2 linked regions of the Danio rerio genome follow. The protein of the gene in region 2 purifies or fractionates together with the protein of the main gene of each other region. This does not show direct contact. Links are inferred from orthologs where the notes say so. Each region holds a gene or a part of one and is shown on either strand. Other genes may lie near its edges.

Region 1 (3,831 bases), on a different chromosome or scaffold from region 2:
ACAGATATATGTGTGCGCATACTTGGGGTTGTTCCAGTTCAGTCTTAACACCTGGATTAAGAGAATCGTGTGACGCAATTTCATCTTCTTTTGTCTTTTTGAGTGTTAAAAGTTTTTTGTGCATTTATAAGATCTGTAAAACATTAAAAATCCTAATTAAAGTTAAAACTCCTCCATCTACCTAGAACACCTCATGCAAACACAACAAGGATTGACCTCAATGTACATGCAAAGAAAGCTGTTTCTTCTGTGAAAGGTGTTCTGCTTAATCTGATCAATAAGCTCGATCATCAACATATTCAGAATGAAATTTATCTGGTATTACTATGGAAATAAAGGGCATAATATTTCCCAGTTCCTCCAGGACTTTACAAGTCCAATAGTTCTTGAGATTTTAAGTATAATTATTATAAAACAAGATGTATATTTTCACAGCGAGATGCAATAATTGATACAAATGATGCCACAAGTTTTAAGTAAGGCCATTTTAGGCTGCATATGTTTTTTAGTTCCTTTACACACTTGAGGCATTCAGCCAATTACAGAACACTTAATGGAAGGCTGACGAATCAGAACACTGCACACGTTTCAGAATGATGAGCTTTGTAACATTGTTTCAGAAAGGCAGAGCAGAGATGAGAAATGGTAATGTACAGTATGTGGGGAATTTATTTATTTGTTTACATTATATGCATTGCATTACACCAAATACACAAAATAATGTTCATTTAGCAACATCATATGACTCCTTTAAAGGGATAGTTCTCCCAAAAAATGATTTATTCATCTTTCAATTGTTCATAACCCATTTAATTTTCGTTCAGTTGAACAATATATTTTGAAAATGTGGCATCCATTGACATTGTCATTGTTTTCTACTATTTAAGTCAACGGGTGGCAGCAACTATTATTTTAAAAAATATATAAGCTGCGTCCCAAATGCGCTATTCTACGCCATTTTGTAGTATAAATAGTGTAAGTAGTGTGTTCACACTGAAAACTCTAAAAATAATGAGCGCTTTAATAACCTGGATGATGCACTCATTCAGCCGCTAAAATGAAGTGTGTAATGATGGACACTTCACGGACTCAACGACCGCAGGTTTACCAACGTAGCAGAAGGGACGGAGCTATCAGGCACACATGTTGGATAACTTTATTTATTTTGGATGGTGAAAGCAAAATTCTCCTACAAAAGTGATTATAGCGCCTCCCGATGGTGAATGGGGTTATACTCACGGCAGGTATTATTTGATAATTCGGTCGTTTATTTCACTGATTTGGCAACCGTCAAACGTCATCAGGAAAACGGTTTGAATTTCCGCTTAGTAAAAAAACATAAGTGTGCCATTTGGGACGACACAACATACATGTACTATCCTGTTGAGTGTGTAAGTGCATAAGTACATAGTGTATAGTGTGCCATTTGGAAAGCAGCTATAGTTTTGTGTTCAACACAAGAAAAACTTACAATGATGCAGCATTCTTAATTTTTAGGTAAACTATCCCTTTAAGTATGTTAAGTGCTTTTGAAATGTGCATTTTTTAAAAATTTGATGGTTCATGTAATCAAGGACTAAGACACGTCACTCTGGTCAATATGGTGAATGAAGCCCGCTCTCTAGTACAGGAGCCAATCATTGATCAATATATAGTGATTAAAGCCAAGTAGGTATCGCTGCAGCCAGGAGACCTGCATGTGGGAGGGATTACACCGCAAGTAGGTTGGTTGACCTCCAAGTGGGAGTGACTCAAACCGCAAGGAGGTTGGGTTTATCAGGTTACTGTGAGGTTGGGTTTAGGGTTGGGTTTAGGTGTAGACGTTAATAAAACACAACAGGTTACTGTGAGGTTGGGGTTAGGGTTAGGTGTACAAATTCATAAAGCACAATATTGAACTCTAAATACGACTAAATAAGGTTTGCCCAGCCCACTTGGAGCTCCAAGACCCACCCACTTGGAGCTGGCTCCGGCCTCCGTTTATACCCTTCTCAATAAAGCCGGCCTTCTAGTACAGGAGCCAATCATTGATCACTATATGGTGAACAAAGGCCGCCTTTTAGTACAGGAGCCAATCATCGATCACTATAGACTGATACTACTCTGGGGGAAGGGCTCAGATTAGATGTGAGTTTCTGGAGATTTTGTGTAATTTGGACGTTTAGAAATTAAACTAAAAAGACTGTTGTTGTTTAATATTATTGGCAATTCCTAATATGAAATTCAATCATAAGCTTGGCAAGCAGTTTTGGAGAATTTGATGTTTCCCCATTCAGACAGAGTGCCCGAGCATACTTGCCTGAGAGTTGTTCCAAAGATGGCCGCCAAGTGAAATAACTTGCCTTAAAGCAGGGGTGTCCAAACTCGGTCCTGGAGGGCCGGTTTCCTGGAGAGTTTATCTCCAACTTGCTTCAACACACCTGCCAGGAAGTTTCTAGTATATCTAGTGAGAGCTTAATTAGCTGGTTCAGGTGTGTTTGATTAGAGTTAGACACTCTCATGGGCTGCGTCCGAAACCGCCTACTACTCAGTAGGTACTGCATTTGAATTTAAACGTACTACTCGGCCGTTAATAAAGTACGCTCTATACAGTATGAATGTGAAAAGTATGAATGGAATTCGCACGTACTACATCCGCCATTTTGACAGTCACGTGACGTACCTGCATAATTTGCGTCGCTTTACTCCTATTCATAAATTCGCTCGCGGGGCATCATGGGATAGCGCAGCATGCATGAAATGCACACTCCAGAATCTCGTCGGAAGTAGTAAGTCATCCGGGTACTTCTCACATACTGTTTTTCGAATTCTGTGAATCCGGACATACTACTCAGCTCATATACTGATTTTAGAGAACTATATAGTATGGAAGTATGCGGTTTCAGACGCAGCCATGGACATCAGCCCACCAGGACCAAGTTTGGACACCCCTGCATTTAAGGGACTTTAACTTAATCTCGACTGAAATAAACAGAGGGTGGGATAGTAGCTCCTCCTCCTTTTTTAAAAACAGCCAATAGCATTTTGATTTCATCACAGCTCTCAGTAAGAGTCATTGAATGGAAAACATGAGAAGCGTGTTGAAGGGGGCGGAGCATGTCAGATTCTAGAGCGCATTTAATCGGTCATTATTTGATAAGAAACTGAATTATGACATGACTTTAGGTGGAAGTGACAAACTGCAAGCTTTGGATGTTTATATCAGTTTTAGACTTTCTAAACGCAAATTTTGTTTTGGAACACACCAGCTAATAGATATACTTACAACTGACAGACTGAAGCATCTAAAATTTATTTTAATTTCATGAAACCCTTATGGTTGTAGCTGAAATGTCCTCATTGGTTGTTCTTCAGTTATTCTCCGCTGTAGATAAAGACTGTAGTTATTGTACCATGTTTGTGTAGCACCACAGTTTGACTCTCCATCTATGTGCTTTCCAGAAACTTCTGCTCCAAAGCCCTCTTTTGGCTTCATGGCCAACTCCACCTCCAGCACCCCAGCCTCCTCCAGCTCCACCCCCAGCCTTTTCGGCACTCCCACCACCTCTTCCCTGGCTCCCACGCCTGCTCCCACTAGCACCTTTGTGTTTGGCCAGAATTCCTCCTCTGAACTAAATGTGGGAAAGACTTTCGTGTTCGGACAGCAGCAGCAGGACAGTCAGCCGGCTCCTCCTGCGGCCCCTTCTGCTGCCCCAGCACAGCCTTTCCAGTTTGGCTCGGGCTCAAACTCATCCACCCCTTCTTTCACATTTGGTGCTGCTGCGTCCTCCACCCCTGCCTCTGCTGGTTAGTTTACCACCAAATATCCTGTTGTTGTCTTGTGTGCTTCTT
Region 2 (3,831 bases):
TGCACAGATGGTTGTCCTTCTTTAAGGTCCTTCTCTCTCCACAAAAGAATGCTGGAGCTCAGACAGAGTGACCATCAAGTTATTGATCACCTCCCTGACTAAGACCATTCACCCCAGATCACTCAGCTTAAATGGCTGGCCAGCTATAGGAAGAGTTCTAGTGATTCCAAACATCTTCCACTTACGGATGATGGAGGCCACTGTGCTCATTGGAAATTTTTCTGTAACCTTCCCCAGCCTTGTGCCTCAAGACAATCCTGTCTCAGAGGTCTACAGACAATTCCTTTGTCTTCATGCTTGGTTTGTGCTTTGACATGCACTGTCAACCCTGGGACCTTATATAGACAGGTGTATGCCATTTCAAATCATGTCCAATCAACTGAATTTACTACAGGTAAACTCCAATTAAGCTGCTGAATTATCTCAAGAATTATCAGTGAAAATAGAATGTTCTTGATCTCAATTTAAAGCTTCACGACAAAGGCTGTGAATACCTATGTACATTGTACATGGGATTTTTCAGTTTTTTTATTTTTAATAAATTTGCAACAATTTAAACAAAGTTTTTTTCACATTGTCATTACGAGGTATTGTGTGCAGAATTAAGAGTAAATAAATGAATTTAACCCATTTTGGAATAAGGCTGTAACATAAAAAAATGAAAAAGCAGTGAAAAAGTGAAAAAAGTGAAGCGCTATGAATACTTTCTGGATGCACTGTACGTGTTGTGATAAGTATTTCTTTGTATCTCTGTCTAATGCTGCCTGGCAGAAGAGATATTACATCTCAATGGGACATTCCTGGTTAAATAAGTAAATAAATGAAATTTACAACCAAATTGTAAAATGAAGACCTAAAAAACACACTCACAATTATAAAAAAAAAAACATTATCTTAGGCATAAGCAAGTTTGAACAAGTGAGTTTTCAGCTGCTTTTTTAAAATGTCCACAGAGTCTGCAGATCTCCGTTTCCTCAGTAACTACCTCAAGAGCACAGCCTCTTTTTATCTTTAATCTGGAATGTAAAACAATGACCATGAACTGATTTGAGGATTGTTCGAATTACATGGATGATGAATCTCTGTATATATTCATTTAGACTAAATCATTTTTTTTTATTAATTACAACTTTACAGTGAGTCAATGTAGAGAAATTAAAATAGGGGTTACATGAGATCTCTGACATAGTTAAAAGCTTAACAGCTGCAACCTTTGATGAATTTAACAGTGTTGGCTAAAAAAGGCTCACTAATTTCATTTTGCCAAACTAGTTCACAAAAATATAGTTGAAGAAAGTCCACAAGAGGCCACTGTTGATTTATTTTACCTGTGAGATTTGTTGGCAAAATTTACCAGAAAATTTTTATGACTGTTATAAATGATCAACTACAGCAGTATTTCACTCCTCCAGAGGTCAAGGTTCTCGCTTTCAGCGTTCATGTCAGAGAGTTATATTAGGGTTTTTATGAGGGTTGCAGGAGGCGGGATCTCACCTCAATGATGTTGTGCATATGTGGAAGGAGACGGTCTAGTCGCACTTCCAAAAGCATGACTAAAGCTCTGCACACATTCTTCCTCACTTCTGGCTCCTCATCCCCCGCCAGTGCAAACAGGTTCTGTAGCACAACAATGAACACATAAAAATGCATTTTCTATTTTTAGAACTCCACAACTTCCTCAAACAAAACTAGCATCAGAGAATATTGTGAGCATCTTATTTTTATTAGAATATAAGTCCCGTTTTTATCAGAAATGTGACTTATATTCTTTTGTGGCTTATACAATGCACTTAACATCAAGCGAGCAAAGCATGTTTAAAGGTTGTCAGTTTTTGGTTGTTGTACCTCAATGAAGGGGTCTATATGCAGCATTAGGGCTTGCGTTCTGCTGATGATGAACTGGTTCACACAGGCAATGGCATGAGACCTACAACAGACAACAAACACAGAACGCACACACAGTATGCAGTCAGAACAACTGACCCTTTTTATGTCCGTCAAGCTATATTCACTCGCTGTGCCGTTGTCAACTTGTGCACTCTCTGTTGAAATAATGAATAATGTCTGGAAAATATGTATGTTGATTTCAAACAGAATGGTCAGCAAATACATGTCCACATGCATTTGAATTACATACTCAGTATGAGAAAGTAAAGCTAGGCAATTAAAAAGAGCAAAGCTGAGATAAGAGACAGCATCAGAGAGCGGGCAGCTAGCTCTCTGCAACTCTCATATGGTCACTCACTGAAGCTAAGCAGGGCTGCGCCCGGTCAGTACCTGGATGGGAGACCACATGGGAAAGCTGGGTTGCTGCTGGAAGTGGTGTTGGTAAGACCAGCAGGTGGCGCCCAACCTGTGGTCCGTGTGGGTCCTAATGCCCCAATATAGTGACAGGGACTCTATTCTGTTCAGTGAGCGATGTCTTTCGAGGTTCTAACTTGTTAAAAATCCCAGTATGTCCTTCAAAAATAAGTAGTGGTTTAATCCTGGCGTCCTGACCAAATATGCCCACTGGCCTCTGTCTATCATGGCCTCCTCCCTATACCAAAAGTGGCTTCATCACACTGTCTCCTCTTAACCGATCAGCTGGTCTGTGGTGTGTGGTCTGGCACATTATGGCTGCCATCACGTCATCCAGGTGGATGCTGCACACTGGTGGTGGATGAGGAGATTCGCTCCCAAAAAAATGTGTAAAGTGCTTTGAGTGTCTAGAAAAGCGCTATATAAATGTACGGATTATTGTTAATATTATTATTATCACCCGTCTAAAAAAAAAAAACAGGCATTTTCCAAGACAAACAAAGATAATTTACATTTTTAGAGCTTACTGGATTACAAACAGTCATTGAGATGACAAGATTTGTGGGGTTTGTAGGCAATGTGGCTGGTCAGATCACCTGTCAATTTACTTTTGGTGAAAGGTCAATTGCTTGGGAATAGAATTGGGCTTATATAAGATTCTGACGGGATGATAACTTTGGATAAAATTATCACAGTTTCATGGTATTGTGAATACTGCTCTAAAATACATTCTCTTTAAATGTCTGGGTAAAAAACAACAGCTTTTTTCCCCTTTGAACAAAAAATATACACAGTATATTTTATTTTGAGAAACATTTGAAATATTTTGGGGCAGTAAACATGTCAGGCTAAATTATTCAAATAAATCCTTAATTCTGCTGTCTTCATTAGTTTCCAAAACACTGATTTCTTTACAATTTAAAACGGGATCTTTGGTAAAAATGTTGCCAGTTTTAAAACCTTGACTTTTCTAAATCACGGTATGCCTTAAAAATGGTTATCGTCCCATGCCTACTTGGGAAAATATATTACTCGAAATTAGGGATGTCAGAATATACCAATAGTGGAGATCTATAATGAAATCTAATGAAAAAAAAAGATAATATGAAGTTGATAATAAACATTAACATTATAAATTATCCATGGGGCACTCCAATACAGAAGGTGGCGCCACAATGGCATTCCAATACAGTAGCTGCACAAATTTGTTTGGCGTGTGTTATAAAACAAATCAAAAATTTTGCTGCTTGCCACAACAAGGGATAAAAATCGCCCCCAAAGGACACTGCTAGAATGTGAACAGTCATGTGTCGCCATATTGAAGTGTTGTTCCAAACCAAAGTGCTCAAAACCGACCACTTCATTACAAGATTAAGAAGTATATACTTTCTACTCCATTGAATTTTTGTTTAATTTCTGACTCTCATGGATAGGAGTGCAAGTTGTTTTTTCCAGTTTTTTGGTGCCTTACAACCTTTATCCCTTTCAAATATTTTTAAAAGGGATATATAAAATATATTTAAGTATGAG

What was found.
Region 1: the proteins of tnpo1 (region 2) and nup153 purify together in Homo sapiens (co-immunoprecipitation; 3 studies listed by BioGRID and IntAct, with this or other methods). This does not show direct contact. The link is inferred for Danio rerio from reciprocal best matches to the Homo sapiens genes TNPO1 and NUP153.

The regions. Positions count from the first base shown.
Region 1 is NC_133194.1:48,917,286-48,921,116, reverse strand, and holds part of nup153 (nuclear pore complex protein Nup153), read left to right. Parts: intron 1-3,441; coding exon 3,442-3,786; intron 3,787-3,831. UniProt on the Homo sapiens protein: Component of the nuclear pore complex (NPC), a complex required for the trafficking across the nuclear envelope. Functions as a scaffolding element in the nuclear phase of the NPC essential for normal nucleocytoplasmic transport of proteins and mRNAs.
Region 2 is NC_133180.1:35,850,196-35,854,026, forward strand, and holds part of tnpo1 (transportin-1), read right to left. Parts: intron 1,928-3,831; coding exon 1,846-1,927; intron 1,618-1,845; coding exon 1,495-1,617; intron 1-1,494. UniProt on the Homo sapiens protein: Functions in nuclear protein import as nuclear transport receptor. Serves as receptor for nuclear localization signals (NLS) in cargo substrates.